3 linked regions of the Oryzias latipes genome follow. The protein of the gene in region 3 binds, or shares a complex with, the protein of the main gene of each other region. Links are inferred from orthologs where the notes say so. Each region holds a gene or a part of one and is shown on either strand. Other genes may lie near its edges.

Region 1 (6,086 bases), on a different chromosome or scaffold from region 3:
GGCTAAAAGATCCACAGGGCCAGAAAAAAATATTTCAAAATGCAGTGACGAAACCAAAACACACAGGTCAAGGATATCCAAAGAAAGTTTTGAAATTATTATGGGATGGCCAAACGACCAATGGCTTGGCAGCCATTTTGTGGCAAACTCCGAGAATTGGTGATTTTCACATTTTATCACAATATGGGAAGGGAAACTTTTGTTCCAGCGATCTTCACAAAATTTCACACACATGCTGCTATCATAAGTCTACAACGACCACAGACATTTCACTGACCTTTGACCTTTGGTGGTGGCCGCCATCTTGAATTTAAAAAAAAGCACCTTTTGTAACAGATACAAATGAAAACCCGTCCAAGAGATTTTTATCTATCGTCTTGTACCTTCTCAGGCATCAATGACAAGCTACTAAAGAAAAAATGTTGGACTTAGAAGTTGTAGATTTTGAACGGCGGGGCAGACAGGCAGCGAAGGCAGGAGGTAGCGCCTGCGGGCCAAACAACGCTGCTCGCGACTTTAATTGTATATTGTCTTTAAATCTTTTGTTTAGGACGGAGGATTTTTGCTAGACAGTTAGTTGGTTTGGCATCGGTATAATAGTTTGAAAAACAAAATTTATGAACCTTGTCAAACCATTTAATTAGTACTTTTATTTAGATTTTTCTTTTTCATGTGTAATTAAATCCCATGTCATTTTCAGATTTCTGTTTTGTCTGAAAACCACACTAAAAGTTTTGCTCCCTAGTTTCTAGTTTTTATACCACTTGTTTATTATTGTAAACTTGGGAGAAAAAAAGCTGCAGCACAAAATAAAACAGCTTTGCTTTCCTTTCTGTAACAGAAGGTGATGACCTCCCACCACAATGTAAAATCCAATTTTTTTTCTGTTTTTGAATCTTTAGGATGGATCACTGGGAGAAAAAATAAGAAAAAGGGATAAGAGTTGCAGGAGCCTGGACTATTGATCCAATTTCTATGACCACAAATAATTCAAAGCTTAATAAGCCTATGCTTCAAGTTCCCATACCCTTTCAAGACCTGGAATGGCCTTGCTGTTACCTACAAATCACAGCTGCACACAAAGCTGCCCTCTCAGGGGTGATGTGTCTGTGACCACAGGAAAGCAAGAAAAAAAAAGAGTCAAAGTTGCAAGCTCCTGGAAAATGCAACAGTTTCTGTTAAGAATTTAGCCAGCCAGCTTGCAATATTTGTGGCACAGATTCTCCAGGGAGGTTGAGAATATCAAAAGGCTGTGCAAGAGTCTTCTCTGTAAAAGCTCTGGACAGGAGATCTGTCCTTAAAAGGTAGGAGATGGTAAATGATCCCTCCAACTGTCCTTTTTTTTTTTTTTCAAGGCTCTATGCCGGATAAGAAAGAGAAAATCAGTTTATCACCCAAGCCCATGCTGGGTTGTGTACATTTAATAAGGCCTTTTTTTAATGGGAGGGGGTGGAATTCTGTATATTTTTAATCATTTCTAAAATAAGAAAATCCAATTAAACTCGTATTGAAGTACAAATGAGAAGTCAACCTTTTTAAGATAGAGAATATAAAAGGGAAGGTATAGTTTTTCTATTTTAGACTTGTTTTTTGTGGTCTTCAAAGAGCCTGTGTTCATTACTGGATCTGATGAATAACATCAGTAAAAGCTAATTCTTTACTGTAGCTTCACAATATTCTGAGCAATTAAAGAGTTTTAGGTTTTCCTGCATTCAGGAACTTTTCCTTATCCAAGTTAAATTAGGATTTGTGTTTCTGACATTCATGTCACAGAAACAGGACTCCAAAATAGAAACAGATCTCTTTAAATTGTTTTCCTTCTTCTTACTAAAACAAAATATTTTTACAGAATGAATCATTCATGTCTATGAAGTCAATAAAAACCATAATTTTAGGCGAGACAACCTATTACAGACCCTGATCTGTCTTCATCTGCGGTAAATGAAATGGGGGGGGGGGGGCTGTCTCACAGAATGAATCCATCAATTGAACTAAGTTTAAACCATACAAGCACCATAAAAATATAAATAAATAAATGTGAGAATAAAGTCAAAGCTTTACGAACACAAAGTCGAAAAATTATGAGAAAAAAACTCATAAAATCCGAGTAAAAGAGTTGATTTTTTTTTACAAAAATTAAGTTATAGTTTTATAAGAAAATTAAAAAATTTTTGAGATGATTAAAGTTAGAAATTTATAAGGCAAAAGACTGCTGACAAAAATAAAAACAAAAACAAAAACATTGAAACAATTTTGGATGAGAGACGTAGAACCCATTGTAAGTGGATACTTCAGCCAAAAGGAAGTACTAAAGCTTTTACTGAGCTACTGTAAACTTATTGTAAGTATGAAGATATTAAAAAAAAATTTGAAGGAAACCGGACTTTTTCAGAAAAGGATTCTTTACCCACAAGGATCTCTGGTGGACGACCCTGTCATTATGCCCTCAGCAGTATAGATGCAGAGGTTTGAATGCATTAAGACACATGGATTCCTATGATAAACTAAAGTCTTATGACATCACCATAAATAGGTGCATTGTTGGATTTAATTGGTACATAACGTGGATTGAGTCTCAAACAACCATTTTTAATTCTGAAAAAGCTGGCCTTTTTCCTTGTTTTTTATTTATTCATATAAATTGTGACTTTTTTCTCATTTTGTAACTTTATTCAAGTACATTATCGTCTTTTTCTTAAAATGGTATGACTTTGTTCTTATATATCTTTATTTTTTTGTTTCTTGGTATACAAGAGTCAACACATAAGGAAACAGTTTGTCAAATATCCAATAAAACAGATAAATCCTAAAATCATATATTATATAAAAATGTACACAATTTTTTAGCTAATGCCATATTAAAAAAATATTTTACTACATGCATTGATTTTTTTCATCATTCAAATTGGAAGTTTTACTGTTTTTTCATTCTTTTCTTTTTTATTTTTTCTTTACTCCTAATATCGCACGAATATAAAAAGTAAAGTTCATGTTCAAATTTAACTGTTCCATTAACTGTTGCAGTTTTCACTTTGCTTTTTATTAATTGAATTGTTCAAAGACACAAAATTTTCTTAAGCCTTTTTTTTTGACAAAAAGTTATTTTTCCTTTCACTGAAACAGGTCACAAATGACCTAAGCTATCAGTTAAACATGCAGCACCCCGATGGAGAGGGAACCCCAACAGTCGAGTCTTTGTGCTGCTTGAGCTGTGATCTGCACTCACCACTGCATTCTCCATGCTGGCTCTCACTGTGAAGGCTTCTGCTTTTAGCTCCGTCCTCTTTTTCTTCCACATTTACCCGCGGTGTGTCTTCCAAACAATGTCCACAAAATTAAAACCAAACTAAAACAAACAAAAAAGAAAACAAGGAGTAATTTAACCTGGTAAACTGCTGTCCGGCTTAGCTACTGTTGACAAGTGGTTGCTAAGCAACTGGTTGTCACAAACATGTGTCCTGTTTCTACAAAGACCAGAAAGAAAATGGTTTCTCTTTAAATAAGGTCAAGATACCTTTAAAAATATATATACTTTGCAACTTTAATGATTAGAAAATTGAAAAAAGTATTTCAAAATTAAAAGTATGTCCTTTCTTCTAAGCAAAGAAGAAAAGAAACTTTGCAGAAAGCAATTTTAGAAGAACTTTGAACTGGTCTATGAGTCTTTTAACAGCTTGATTCAACCACTGCACTGAAACCTGAAAAAAGAGAACATTTTTGTAATTTTGGTTTTATTTTATTTTTTTAGCTTTAGAGATGCGGGAGAGCCTTTCTTCTGAAAGGAGGGCGCTGTGGAGAGGTCTGGGTTAACCAAAAAAATAACTTGTTTTTTTCTTCTTCCAACTTGTTCTGTCCAACAACTGAGCAAACAGATTAGAGCTGAAGGCCTTTTGTGTTGGACAGGTTTTACTATCACAAAAAGAGGTTATATATCTTCAAAAAACCAGAGTGTACATTTGTAGAAACCCCTTTTTGTTATTTATTATTTTTTATTAATTTGTTACATTTAGTGTGTGTGGGGAGGGAGAGGGGAAGAATGTTAGGTGGGAGGTGTTAGAGAATAAAAGGAAGAGAGGTGGAGAAAGTGGGGGATACAAGCGCTGATTTAAATAAGTTATTATTTTAAGCTTTGTAACAATTATACCAGATCTGCTGAGATGAGTAATATTATATCCAAAGATGATATTCTGACACGAAGATGAGCGGAAGATATCCGTCCATAAAAAATACATTTTTAACTAATTCGACAACAAAATTATTTTTATCATTATATTAATGTATACATTCTGAATTAACTGCACAGCTCCATATTTACATTTATCCAGGTATCTAACGGTTGCAAACAAAAAACTTTCATCTACAATGGGTTGTAAGGGATTTTGAATACATAAAATGCAATTTACATACTCAGTTGGGGTCAATCTAAAAAGAGTTTTGTTTTTTACGAGAAGAAAGCAAAGAACACAGCTTTTTTTTAAAGTAGCATCTAAAATAAATTCAGTTTTTGAAAAAACATCCTATCCTTGTTTCTTGTTATTTTTGTGGACTAAATGCCAAAGATTTAATAAAGCATTGATCCAGAAGAAAAAGAAATGTCCAGATTACTTTTTTAAAGTCATGGAATTTTAAAAGTGTTTTAACGGTTTGCGAGTTTTTATTTTTTCCTGTTCCAACTCATTGTCTGTTTGTTACCTGCTTCATTTTTCTTCTGTTGAAAATGTTCTATTTAAACTAATGAGCTACTACAGTGAGAAAATGACTTAATCTCACAGAGAATTACCTTTTTTTAGTGCTTCTGCCACAGCTCTCATGCCAGTCCTTTTTAAAAAGGAGAATCGATCGCACCCTCATCACTGTACTCAGGCAGAAGTAAATACTTAACGACGCTCCACGGCTGGCAGGTGGACCAAAGCCTAGACTTTCACTTTTAGAGCCGCCTTAGTCCTGACTCATTTCAATTTAGGGATCTGGCACTTTTAAACTTGCAATATCATTCTTGCCTCTGGAGACTTTCTTGGGTGAACCGGTGCAGCTGTTATTAATCTTCGGTGTACAAGCAATTTCTCTAAAAGCCCCCATTTGTTTTTTATGGCTCTATTGAGAGAGAACGGCATAGTAGCAGGAAGCGTGCCAGTAAACAAGCCATGAAAGGTTATGTCCCTGTCAGCATTCAGCTCTAGCCTCTCCTTTCTTCTTGCTTTCCAGATAATTAAAAAAAATAAAGGGTAGGGAGTTTTTAGAAAGCAAACTAACAAAACTAACATGCCAGGAGCAATTCATCTGGGCTGGAAAGGGATTCAAACGAGGCTCTCTGTCTCACTGCAGTGGGTGTGTCTACAGGAAAGGATTTCATTGTTTTCCAGGCTTTGCCATATTAACGCTACATGATAAAAATCTATCAGTGGTTGCAACTGAAAGATACATGTTGATGTTTCTTCCTCGGGCTATTGTGTCACCACGTTGGTGTACTCAAATGACGTACTTACATCCCGTTCAAGAAAAAAAACACAAGAATCCAGTTGCTTTCTGTGGTGGCTTCGAAAACAAGAAACAAAAGAAAAATAAGAAGACAAAATGTAAGTCACTTCAAAGAAATCTCAATACATTCCTCTGTGATTAATTTTTTTAATGCTATGTATCCTCTTCCTCCCCCTCATCATGTTCCAGGTTCGGCTCATTTGCATCCAGCTCCCGTTAGACGCGGAAACCATTGTCCAGTGTGTGGGAAAGCTGCTGTAATGATATCATTAAAGAAGAAACTGGCGCATACAAAGGAAAGAGTCAGAGAAGGCCAGGAAAAGAATCTCAGCAGGAGAAGGCTCACATTGAGTCCGTTGCTCACCAATTACTGTGAAACAAGACAAACAGCTATTAGAGTGTGGACCATTAGGCAGTAAGGAGAGCAGTCAGTGGCTGGTTGGCTTTAAATGACGGTCAGTTTGTAATGGCCAATCAGTTTTCTCATTCCTTTTGGTTTTATTGTTAATCTCTCGTATTTTTGTCACCTTATTGGATATTTTCTTTTCTTTATCACTCTACTGAGTCATACTGCATATTTATTATTAAGAGCCACATCATTTGTTCTG
Region 2 (5,986 bases), on a different chromosome or scaffold from region 3:
CCTCAAAAGACGCTCTTCCAAGAGAAGATGCTGGAGGTCAAGGAGTCTGTGTACGCTTCCAGAAGGAAAGCTCCGCTGGGTCGCTCACGAGACCAACCAGCTCAGCTTCCTTCCTGGTTTGACGGCACGACCATATTTGGTACAAAGACGGTTAAAGGTAAAGTAAAAAACATGCAGCTTTAAAATGTAGTCGAGTCAAAGTTTCAGTGACGAAAACAAAATATTTAACAGTTGTTTTGCTGAATGATGCAGGGCTGGATGTGCGTGAGATCATAAACCCTTCTAAAACCGCAGAGGAGATGGAGACGGACGTTAGAAGCCACAAGGACTATTTTGTTGGTAAGGAGTGACACTTTTGCTTCTGCAGCAGCACCAAGCAGGATGCTTAAGGATCCAGATTCCTCAGTCTGTTGGAGGAATGTCAGACTGCACTGAACCAAACCCAATTTCTTCACTTTGGTCCATTCCAGGAGGGCGACTCAATAGAAAATACGACTCCAGATGTTTCAGTGACGACTGCAGGTTTGGGATCCCGACGCCACATTTCAACGACGGGCGCATCGTTGGGAAAACCCTCAAATGGCTCGGAGAGACACAGAAGTGAGTCATAACATGACGAATGAAACAATGTGATGTTTGTTCTTCATTTGCTCTACTGACTTCATATGTTCAAGTCAGTCCTCTTCAATCTGATGGGATTATTTTGCACAGGTTTTATAATCCAAACCCCGTTTGGCAGAGATCTGGTACCAAGGAAAAACTGGCACTGGAGTTTGGAAAAGTTGAGAACATGTAAGGTTTTTTATTATTTATTTTTAGTTTTGACCTCCTTTGTGACCTGTTCTGTTAAATGTACGCAATATTTAAATTAATATCTTTTGCTTGCAGAAAACTAAATGCTCCACCGCTTCCAACCGATCACATTTTTGGAATCGTTGTGCCACCAGATTACACGGGTAGATCTGCTGATAAAAACAAAGACACATCCAAGAAAATAGTTGAAATATCTTCATGACGTAGCTCCTCCCTTCACAGGAGCTGGAGAAATAATCCACTGCGCAGAGCCGGGTCAGTACACCAGAGGTCGTGACAGCTGGAGTGGTCAGGTCCAAGCCCTGAGACACCACCTCAGGAATCTCAACTTCCAGAACTTTCCCTCTTTGATGAAGGCCTTCCAACATTATGACAAGGCAGGAGCAGGTTCAGCCTGATAGAACACCAGAAAAACCCTTTTTCACCTGTGTTCTTTAATGTTCTATTATCTAAAAGTAGAATGCAAAAAGGATAGACACCAGATTGATATCGTTTGTTAAAAATGTTGCTGTCCAAAAGTTAGTTATCTACATTTTTCTGTGAACCTGTAAATCACTAGAAAGGAAAGGAAATGATCGACAAGGACGACCTGAAGGCGGTCTTCCGTGAGTTCCAGCTGGATGTGAAGGAAGCGGTTGTGGATCAGCTCCTGGCCTACTGTGACGCAGACAAAGACGGACTTCTCAGCTTCACAGAGTTTGCTAACTTCCTCAACTGGAAGGACCTGATGCCCCTTCACAGCCAGAAGCTGCGCGGTCAGCGGAAAGGTCAGTGAGCCGCACGGCTTCTCACCGACCCAGGCTGGATGGAAGCAAACAGAAGTGTTTGCCCCTTTAAATGTGGGCAGAAGAGACGCATGTTAGGAAGCTGAAAAACAGGAAATATGGCTAAAAATGAGATGCGCCAAGTGCTAAAAATAATTATAATAATTATAATATTTGTTTTTAACTTAAAAATAAATAAAAACAAAATAGAGTTGATGGTATATGTTAATAGTGCTCACTTGGATTTTGTGAATTTTTAAATAAATGCAGATTTATTTAATTTATCTTTGGGTTTTTCTTTTCAGTACCAAGAAACTTCACAAAGAACAACAATTTACAAAAAAGTTGAATGTATACATAAATCATCAAAATACTTTCAATAGTAATTCTGTATAAATATTTACACATTTGTAAAGACCAATTATGCCATGGTAAACTAACTGGACAAAATCATAAAATATAAACTTTAGCCCCACCCCCTTCACTTGTTGCAATGGTTTGCTCCAAAGGCTCCCAAACACTGTTTTGTGACTCTGCAGCTTTTTACTCAGCTTTGCTGCCAAAAAAAGCAGGTAAACACGATTTAATTAATTTATTTGACTTTTATGAATAACCACATAATTGTTTTAATGCTATAAAGCATTCATTGTTTTCCTGTTTCTTTATTATAGTATCTTCCACCAGTATTTGCCGCTTAACTCCTTTTACAACTTTCAGCTATTTTAACCATTCAACTATTAAAATATTCAGCTTTTTCCAGCTGTGACTTTTGGTCTTTCAAATCCTTGAACCGTTTAAGATATTCCAGGAAGGATGTTTATTGCAGGTTTTTTTTTTTTTTTGTTGACACAGAAACACACAAATATACTTTTTCTCCAGAAAACATTCAAATATAGGACAGCGTCTCTAACTGTTGTCGTCTCATTTGGCTGCTCAAACGGGTCCAGCTGGAGTCTATGAAACCCTGGTGTTTGTGGATTAAATGGAAAAATTCAGGAAGGTTTCTCTTAGATTTCTATATGCTAACATAATATGTTAGATTCAATAAAACATTGTTTTGATGGTTCAAATATTCTGTTGGTTGAGATTCTTCTGACATTTTAGGATGTTTGTTTGCATGTTTGGAGTGACAGAACGGGATCGACAGGTAGTTCCTGAGTTTTTGCCCCGCAGCAACGATTTAGATATCTGTGGAGTCTGTGTCCTGTCATAGTCTACGTGTTCAGTTTTCTAGCTTGACGTCATGAAGACTTTGGCAGCTCGGACACAGATGTGCTGCCCTCATAGATGGTTTACAGGCTGGAAACAGAGCTTTAGCTTCCACTGGGCTTTAGTGTTGAACAGCCTGTCAGCTGTCAGCTGCCTGGATGATGGGAAGTGGACCGTACATGGCCTGCATAATAGTCTGAGTTAGAACCGGCACTGCTTCAATGAGCTAAATACCTGCATAACACGTTAAACAGTGCTGAGAAATGTTAGACCGGCAACAAAAATAAGCAAAAACATTCAGAAAAAGATCACGTTTTAAATGTTTGTTCAACCGAAAATGCATCTGAATTTTTCAAAAAAATTACAAAATAAATTCTAAATGCTTGTTAAGTTGGAAAAGTGCTGAAATCTGCTGTCAGGACCACAAGTGACGAGCTTTTCAGTATAAAATCTAGACGTTCTGAAAAAAGAAATCAAAAAGCACGTGAAGCTTGATCCTGTGACTACTGAAAGTTTGAATATTGATTATAGGTAAATGAATAAAACTTATATGGTTATGAAAGGCCAGAAAATTCACATCTAATCCTTTGGCTTTCAAAGTCGTTACAAAAACGGAATTGATAGCAGAAAGATTAAAGTATCTGAAAATAGATGCTAACAAGATAAAAGTATTTCTGTAACCTTTTCTGTTTGATGGTGGAATTCTGTTTATTAAGGGTTTTAGTAAGACTCCTGAACTCCTGCAGAACCCTCAGGTTTTGTTCATCCTCTGATTTCTCCTTCCACTTTTTGCACATAATCTCTTTGCACGGCTGAATTGTTTGTCTTTATGTTGCGTCTGCCTCACTAACCCGTTTTGACTTGTCTGTGTCCTTCTATTGCTTGTAATGTTTAGATGCTGTTTTGTTTTGTGGCCGCAGGAACTTAATTTTGCTCTGCAGTGCATCGTCCATGCTGTGCACGAATGACAAAGAATTCTGAGTCTGAATAAATCTTATGCAGGAGTCCTGCACGTTTTGCCTATTTTGAGAAAGCTTCTGTGTTGTTTTTCTCTTTCTTAGAACATCAGTCCTGCCCATCAGAACCAGCACAGCAGCTTCTCTTTCAGGCCTCGATCAAGCCTGAAGATCCGGAGCCAGTTAGACCCGGCAGCACCGAGAAGCCCATCAAAACACTGACAAGAACAAGCGCAGCTCCAGACCAGTTTATGACCTCCTCCTCTCTCACCGGGGCTGTCAGTCACACATCAAGTCAGTCCAGGGAGAATTTAAGTACCAAACTCTTTTCTTTTCGTTCTTTTTTTCCCTTCATTTTTGTGTGTTGTGCCTTTCCACAGATAGCCGCACATCCGGCGTCCCATCTGTTCGCTCCGATCTTCCAGCTCCACGCCTCAAGAGGATGGGCGACACCACAAACTACGGAGACTCGTCCACAGCAGCAGATCTTCTACATCCATCAGTTCACGCCCTCAGAGGAGTTCATGAGGAGCACTTCCTCTGTCCTCGCTCCAAGGAGGAGGTAAAGTCTCTCCTCTGGTTGAAGGATGCTCGTCTGTCTCTGAATGCTGGGATTTGAACGAAATTAATAAAGACTTCTCACATATATGTTGACATTTGTGGATCTGCCTCTGCTAATCCTTGGATTCAGATAATCTGCTCAGTCCTCTTTGATTATTGTGGTGAACTTTGACCTAATTAGACGGGTCTGCTCGTTGAGCTGTCTTTAGAAATTTCTAGGCACTTATATTTTTACATTACAACTCGTTCAGCATCTTGTTAGATTTTGTTTTCTGTGTATTGAAGCGAAGAAAGTGTGATTTAAAAACGACAGAAAAGTGTTTATTTTTGACCTTTTTTCAGATTTCAGAGATCTTCAGGAATGTTGGTGTGGACATTTCAGAGAAGACATTTGAGGAAGCCTGGACGCTGGCGTCCATGAAACGTCCAAACAGGGAGGTTTGTGTGGAGACTTTTCGTAACACACTAAAGGAAATAAAAGCAATGTAACGTCAGCGTATTTTCTCTTTATCGGATATTTCTCCATTTTTAAGTTTAATGAAAGCAAATGAAGTCAGAAATCCACAAAGAAAAACACATTTTCATAGAATAATCTCTAATTTGTCAGATGGATCTTTATGGGGAACGTCGCAGCCTGTTCCTGAATTAAGTGCCTTCAATGATAGGAGTTATGAATAAGTATGAGTGTCGAAGATCATAACTCTGGTATTTTTTTTATAACGTAAAGTTCATGACAATAAATTTACCTTGAATAATTACGTAAATCTTTAACTAAACATCATTTTTGTCTATTTTTGTTCTTGCATGTTGAAAATGGGGAGCATGGATGCATTTAGTTTTTGTTCTTGTCAAAAAATAAAATAAATATTTTTATTCAAACTTTTTTTTTTCTCATAAAGTTTCTGTTTATGGAAAGACAAAATCCTAATCTAGAAAACATTTAAAAAGATGAAATCCTCATCTCACTTTTCAGTAAAGCCTTACGCTGCAAATGATTCAGACATCCAACAGATGAGACACTCATTAAAGGACAAGAACCTTCCAGTATTGGGGGGCGGTGGCCTCCAACCTTTAATGTCAAACAGTATTTTCCCAGACCGGTCTGTACAGGCCTGAAGTTGGAGTCTGAATTTATTTTTGGCCTCCAGCTTTTCTTAACTTTTGAGAGTTAAGTTTATCTTCATCCTTTTATAAAACATCTGCAGCTGCTTTAAACTTTATTCATACACTAAATAGCATGTAGGAACCATTAAAATGTGATTCTAACCCATAACTGTCAAAGTGGAAGCTAAAACATCAAACGCCAACTTCATGACCATGAATAAAAAAAATTCAAAAGTTACTAAAACTGGTATTTTCTAAACATAATAATAAATGTGAATCCACAGCTTGAACAACTGTATTAGCAGCATCCTTGTAAGAATAAACAGATGGTTGCTTAATATTCTGCATTATTATTATGGTCTGTAGGAACAACTGTCACAAATAATCCACATGTGGAGTAAAGACTCTTGGTTTTTGTCTGTTAATTGCAGCTTTCTTTTATTTTGAAGTCAAGGTATATTCTTCTGTTTCCTCTCTGGCTCTGCCAAAAGAATATGCGATTGTTTTTTCTTAACTTTGCGCTTTGGGGGCTTTTAAGAAAGCAGTGGATGAATTTTCAACCCTGTGACAGAGCGACTG
Region 3 (6,086 bases):
GTTTATGTAGAAAAAAAATTAAATTTTAGAAACCAACTAAACAGTAGGCCCCAAATCTCTATTCTATGAAGGTTTAATAAATACAGGATTTCATGACATTCTATTTTTTTGGAAAGGGTCTGTGTGGTTATATTTTTGTAGATCCTGACAACCGACAGGAAGGACAGGTAGTCATAAGATATGTCCGTCACACAAGTCTGTCAATCTGTTCTCCAGAGCAGACAGGGCCTCTTTCTGTGGCGTTACATGTATGCCAATCCCTGGACTGAGAGCAGGGGATGGAGATTGACATTTGGATCCCTTCATCCAGGTCATTCCTCCCCCTCTGATGCTGCCTCTCCAGCAGGCCAGGTCATACAAGATGGATGGTGCCAACAATAGAAGCTCAGGAGTTCTCCATCCCCCAAGAGCAGTGTTTTTCATGTTTTTAGTCAATAGGAGCTTCAATGGGAGTTTTAGTTGGAAAACCAAAGCTCACTGATCGTCGAGGCTTGTACTAAACAGGTAAACATTTTAATCATTGTTGTAGATAATATTCCCATAAATCTATAACTGAATCACTGCAGAAAGCCACAAGATCAAAGTCGTTTTGACTGTCCACTAGATGGCAGTGCTTCTCTTTTAAAAGCCCACACTGCCATCTAGTGGACAAAGTCCCAAACACATCTTCAAGTCCCACTTTAATGAAGAGGCATCTATAATTTCTGGTTTTAACATTTGAAAGTTTAATAAATTGATCTTCAGACTCAATGTCCAAATGTTAGGCACAGGACCCTATGCAGTGGGTGGTGCAATTCTCTGAAACACTGAAACATTTAAATGAATTCAAGGAGACCTTTGGATGTTGTTACACTTTAATTTGAAACACTGAAAGACTCAGGTTTACAGTGGCTTTAACTGTGTAAATATTTTCCAGGTGTTCTGAACTTTAACATGCATCAAGCAGGAAGATCATTTTTAAATTACACGTGAAGATCTGCAGACAATTTTCTTGAACTTGGGAAAAAAATGTTCTGACACAATCTTGCAAAGATTTTCTCTGCAACCAACTTGGAAATATTTTTCCTCTGGAACGAAAGGCAAATGCTCAAATTTGGAAAAACAAAGCAACTCTATTGAAGCTCTTCCTCGCCCTCCTCCTCAAACTCTCCCTCCTCATCAGCTGTGGCCTCCTGGTACTGCTGGTATTCTGACACCAGGTCGTTCATGTTGCTCTCCGCCTCTGTGAACTCCATCTCATCCATACCCTCTCCGGTGTACCAATGGAGGAAAGCCTTGCGCCTGAACATGGCTGTGAATTGCTCGGAGATGCGCTTGAACAGCTCTTGGATTGCCGTGCTGTTGCCGATGAAGGTGGCAGCCATCTTGAGGCCTCTGGGGGGAATGTCACAGACGGCTGTCTTGACATTGTTGGGGATCCACTCAACGAAGTAGCTGCTGTTTTTGTTCTGCACGTTGAGCATCTGCTCGTCTACCTCCTTCATGGACATGCGACCGCGGAAGATGGCAGCCACCGTTAGGTAGCGCCCGTGGCGTGGATCGCATGCGGCCATCATGTTTTTGGCGTCGAACATCTGCTGAGTGAGCTCTGGCACTGTGAGCGATCTGTACTGCTGGCTGCCTCTGCTTGTGAGGGGAGCAAAGCCTGGCATGAAGAAGTGCAAGCGGGGAAATGGAACCATGTTCACAGCCAGCTTGCGCAGATCTGCGTTGAGCTGACCTGGGAACCTCAGGCAGGTGGTGACGCCACTCATAGTAGCAGACACCAGGTGGTTGAGGTCACCGTAGGAAGGCGTTGTGAGCTTGAGGGTGCGGAAACAGATGTCGTAGAGGGCCTCGTTGTCGATACAGTAGGTCTCATCTGTGTTTTCGACCAGCTGGTGGACCGACAGTGTGGCGTTGTAGGGCTCGACTACAGTGTCGGACACTTTAGGAGAAGGCACTACACTGAACGTGTTCATTATGCGATCGGGGTATTCCTCCCGGATCTTGCTGATCAGGAGGGTGCCCATACCTGAACCTGTACCCCCACCAAGAGAATGGGTCAGCTGGAAGCCTTGTAGGCAGTCGCAGCTTTCTGCCTCCTTCCTAACCACGTCAAGGACAGAGTCAACCAGCTCTGCGCCCTCGGTGTAGTGCCCCTTTGCCCAATTATTTCCAGCACCACTCTGACCTGCAGAAAGGACAAACAAAAAAACATCAGCTGGCCTGCAGATGGTGCACAAAAAAATTAAAGGTTTACAAAAACTCACCAAAGACAAAGTTGTCAGGTCGGAAAACTTGACCAAAAGGTCCGGATCTCACAGAGTCCATGGTACCGGGCTCAAGGTCCACAAGCACAGCACGGGGGACATATTTCCCTCCTTTAAAGCAAAAGTGAAAAGGGGAGAAAAAACATTTATTTAGTAAATGCAAAACTTTATTAGGTTGGTGCAACAAATGATGTTCCCACCTGAGGCTTCATTGTAGTAAACGTTGATCCTGTCCAGTTGCAGGTCACTGTCGCCATGGTAGGTCCCAGTGGGGTCGATACCATGTTCATCACTGATAACCTCCCAGAACTACAAATGTACGAAATATTTGAGTTTGATCACATGTAGAAAAAATAATTACAGTAAAAGTTAGCATCCAACCCAGGAAAGATTTAGAAAAAAAACGAAAATCAGTTTCCGGCGAGGCACTTTCCCGCCTCTCCGAAATGGCGAGCGCGCGCCACGGCCCCCTATTGGATGACTTGCATATTTGAAACTTAACGGATACGTCATCAGCCGCCTCGTCGGCAATGCCGGTTGAATAGGCCTCAGTGAATAAAATTTGGCGGACTCGAAGATTTCTTTTTTTCTTAACCAGTAACTATGTTCAATTAACTCCATTAATGGCGGAAGTTCTTTTCGTCCGACATCTTGGAAGAAGCCATTGAAGTTCCGTTTTTTTCCCCCTCCTTCCATTTTGCTTCCCTCGCTAAGATCTTCGGCGTTGCACTAGGCCCGATTATCGCTACAAGAACGATGGATTACAGCAGTTACTAAATTAGAAACGGACAGAGTGAAAGTTGTTAACCCGAAAAATAGTGTTTTCAACAGACAAAGAATGAATAATTACATTAGGCGTTCATAATTATTACTATCGTAAATATATGATGAACATTTGAAATGCATGGTATTATAATATGCAATTTAAAAACTTTTCAATTAGGATTTTAAATGGAAACGGAAAAGTAGGACACGTTGTCTGGCTCCAGGGTGTGGTTTCAGGGACACAAAGCGCCGGATTTCAGAAAGGTGAGTACGTATTTTTAACAGAACAGAAATAAACATTTATTAGTCTGCCGTCTTGCTTACCTTGGCACCAATCTGGTTGCCACACTGGCCAGCTTGAAGATGTACGATTTCCCTCATTTTTGGTGGTTACAGGCGGAGGAGCTTACGATTCTGTCTTCTCATCTACCGTTAATGCGCGCTGTGCGGAACAACGCCCCACTTTATAAGCCACGCCCCGCCCCCGTATGTTATCTGGGAAATCCTATTGGCTAGATGCTTTGGAAGGGAAATGACGTCCAATCAAATCCAAAAGTGTCTCTTCGCTATTGGCCAACAGTCCCTGTCGTTCACTTCAAACATGAGCGCGTGAGCAAACCGAAATCCGCAGACGTCATTCATTTTTAATGGCGGAACGGAAATGCAGAGCTTTTTTGTTCGTGTTGCAAAGTAACAATCCGTCCGTTAGTTGTCTAAACTTTTCATTTGATTGAAATCGAGCTTTCTTATTCAAGTTGTTGAGGTGTTGTTTAATGCTATAAAAGACAAATATTCCCTGACTGAACTTGTATTGTTGTTAAAGAGAGTTTAGATCCACAAAAGGCGGTGGACAAAACACCAAAACCAAGAAGTTTTAAATTATTTTCATTTTATAAGGTTTAAAATGTTACATCCTGCTTTTTCTATGGACGATTGTACATTAAAAAATTTATTTGGAATTAGTTTTTACAACCCCCCCCCCCCCCCCCCCCTTGTATTTTATTATTATAATATCATTTTCCTAGTCTTTTGTAGATATGGTAATTAAACTTTCCCTTGATTCCATGTTAAAATTTTATTGTTGGCCAACATAAATATCTTTCTTCCTCTGCTTTGCACACGACTAGTGCTTACTAACCTTCTGAGTTCTTAATACCCTTCTATTTTTAATTTGTTTTTGTTTAATTATAATTGTTTTAGATTTTTTTTAAGTATTTTTCTGAAAGACACATAAACATATTTTAAATGAACACCAATGAGCTCTTCCAAATGTGACAAACTCACACAAATCATGTTCTGATTGTCTGACCTGCCTGTTAAGTAAGCTGAACAAAAATATATAAAAAAAAGTTTTGTTTCAGCTCCCATTTGTCCTGGACTCAATAAAACCGTCAGTATCTGGTGTGACCACCATTTGAATCGTGCTGTGCAACGCATCTCATTCGCATAAAGTTAATCAGGTTGTTGAATGGTGGTGTTGGGGTTATGGTATGGGCAAGTGTATTATGGACAAAGAACACAGGTGCATTTTATTGATGGCATTTAGAATGCACAGGGATACGATGACAAGATCCTGAGGCCCATTGTTGTGCCATACATTCAAGAACATCAGCTCATGTTGCAGCATGATAATTCACAGCCCCATGTTGCAAGAATATACACTTGATCTTTGCATGGCCAGCATACTCATCGGACATGTCACCCACTGAGCATCTTTAGGATGCTCTGGATCGGCGTACACGACGGCATGTTCCTTTTTGCCAATATCCAGCACCTTGGCACAGCCAGTAAAGAAGAGTTGACCAACATTCCACAGGCCATAACCAACAACCTAAACATTTCTATATAAAGGAGATGTGTTGTACTTAGGGGTTGCAACGATTTGTGGTCGCTGATTAGATTCACTTTCTATTTTGATTCATTTTAAACAATCCGATTTTATCCGATTCACTGACCTAAAATCAATCCAGGACATCTATTGCCAAAACCGGAGTGACGCAGAGATAAATACCTGGTACTTAACAGTCCATGTGAAGTTTTCCAGTTTCCTAGAATATTTTGCATGACAATCAAGTGTAAATTAAGTATGTGTACAAACAAACAAGCAAGTAAACAAGAATTAATAGCAAATCCATTCACATTTTGGTGTCATAACTTTAAGTCCACTGTTGTTTTTCTACATTAAAATGGTCCAAACGGAACATTATTAAACATTCCAGCACTCTGTATGGTCACAAGTCTTTGCAAAATTCAAAGTGTTTCCATACATTGGACTGGAAAGATGGCTTTATCATTTTTGCTGCCATCACGTGTGTGTTGTCCTCTGTGATGCACTCTGTTGTTTTTATGTTATAGTAAACTAATCTACCATGTCTAAACCTGTACGTATTTTCCAATTTCGATTCGAATATCGATTTATCTCATTTTGAAACGATCTTTTAATCGTAAAGGTCAATTCAAATCAATTCTGCCTCTGATAGATCGATCTGGTTTGATCCTAGGAATAGAAATCGATTCATCGATTCATTGATTATTGTTACACTCTTAGTTGCAGTTCATGAGGCAAATAAGATACTGACTAGTTTTCTGAATCATAAAACAATACAGCATGTTTCAGAGTGGCCTTTTATCGTGGCCATTCTAAGGTACACCCGTGCAATAATCTATCTAATCAGCATATTGCTATGGCACACCTATGAGGTGGGGTGGATTATCTCAGCAAAGGAAAAGTGTTCACTGTCAGATTTAGATACAGATTTGTGAAGAATATTTGAGAGAAATGGTTATTTTGTTTGTAGGAAATGTTTCGGATCTTTGAGTTCATCTCATGACAAATGGGAACAAAAGTGTTTTGTTTATATATTTGTTCTGGGATGTAAAAAAGCAATCTTTCCCCGTGCAGTATTATATTATTGCTGCAACACTGAGTCAAATTAAACCACTTAAAAAAATCACATTCTCACTTTTTATTTTAGTTTTTTATTGACATTTTAATTTATTACATGATCAACTGCATGAGTTAGAAACGACCTTTTAGACAACATAAAATTGAACATTGTCCCAAAAACT

The links.
Region 1: the proteins of tubulin beta-1 chain (region 3) and pacrg are in contact, whole or in part, in a cryo-EM structure (PDB 7UNG), measured with the Homo sapiens proteins. The link is inferred for Oryzias latipes from reciprocal best matches to the Homo sapiens genes TUBB4B and PACRG. Residues at the interface, in NP_006079.1 of Homo sapiens: Glu194, Phe260, Pro261, Arg262, Gln291, Phe294, Asp295, Ala296, Arg306, His307, Gly308, Arg309, Tyr310, Val333, Lys336, Asn337, Ser339, Tyr340, Phe341, Gln375, Ser413, Asn414, Asp417, Ser420, Gln423, Gln424, Tyr425, Gln426, Asp427, Glu432; in NP_689623.2 of Homo sapiens: Glu40, Gly41, Phe42, Thr43, Val44, Ala46, Met47, Met48, Val53, Arg54, Gly55, Pro56, Pro57, Ala58, Ala59, Gly60, Ala61, Phe62, Arg65, Lys154, Arg160, Arg162, Arg191, Gln192, Pro195, Asn198, Ile199, Phe200, Asn202, Met203.
Region 2: the proteins of tubulin beta-1 chain (region 3) and efhb are in contact, whole or in part, in a cryo-EM structure (PDB 7UNG), measured with the Homo sapiens proteins. The link is inferred for Oryzias latipes from reciprocal best matches to the Homo sapiens genes TUBB4B and EFHB. Residues at the interface, in NP_006079.1 of Homo sapiens: Asp26, Glu27, Asp31, Pro32, Thr33, His37, Gly38, Asp39, Ser40, Leu42, Gln43, Thr55, Gly56, Gly57, Lys58, Ser78, Gly79, Pro80, Phe81, Gln83, Leu215, Lys216, Leu217, Thr219, Thr221, Asp224, His227, Pro243, Gln245, Phe270; in NP_653316.3 of Homo sapiens: Tyr523, Gly524, Val525, Gly526, Leu528, Ile529, His530, Asn531, Arg532, Tyr537, Arg539, Asp542, Arg545, Ala546, Ala549, Ala550, Arg552, His553, Lys556, Tyr608, Asn624, Phe625, Trp628, Asp630, Lys631, Thr686, Leu687, Leu688, Ser691, Asp692.

Annotation. Positions count from the first base shown.
Region 1 is NC_019880.2:6,467,903-6,473,988, forward strand, and holds the start of pacrg (parkin coregulated gene protein), read right to left. Parts: upstream 3,444-6,086; 5' UTR 3,299-3,443; coding exon 3,227-3,298; intron 1-3,226. UniProt on the Homo sapiens protein: Microtubule inner protein (MIP) part of the dynein-decorated doublet microtubules (DMTs) in cilia axoneme, which is required for motile cilia beating. Suppresses cell death induced by accumulation of unfolded Pael receptor (Pael-R, a substrate of Parkin).
Region 2 is NC_019874.2:30,064,460-30,070,445, forward strand, and holds the end of efhb (EF-hand domain-containing family member B), read left to right. Parts: coding exon 1-157; intron 158-252; coding exon 253-339; intron 340-470; coding exon 471-600; intron 601-711; coding exon 712-792; intron 793-888; coding exon 889-956; intron 957-1,035; coding exon 1,036-1,190; intron 1,191-1,372; coding exon 1,373-1,580; intron 1,581-2,419; exon of another isoform or gene 2,420-2,518; intron 2,519-2,573; exon of another isoform or gene 2,574-3,229; intron 3,230-3,847; coding exon 3,848-4,036; intron 4,037-4,122; coding exon 4,123-4,304; intron 4,305-4,645; coding exon 4,646-4,792; 3' UTR 4,793-5,177; downstream 5,178-5,986. UniProt on the Homo sapiens protein: Microtubule inner protein (MIP) part of the dynein-decorated doublet microtubules (DMTs) in cilia axoneme, which is required for motile cilia beating.
Region 3 is NC_019867.2:26,976,979-26,983,064, reverse strand, and holds tubulin beta-1 chain, read right to left. Parts: upstream 3,498-6,086; 5' UTR 3,399-3,497; coding exon 3,342-3,398; intron 2,562-3,341; coding exon 2,453-2,561; intron 2,364-2,452; coding exon 2,253-2,363; intron 2,174-2,252; coding exon 1,113-2,173; 3' UTR 837-1,112; downstream 1-836. UniProt on the Homo sapiens protein: Tubulin is the major constituent of microtubules, a cylinder consisting of laterally associated linear protofilaments composed of alpha- and beta-tubulin heterodimers.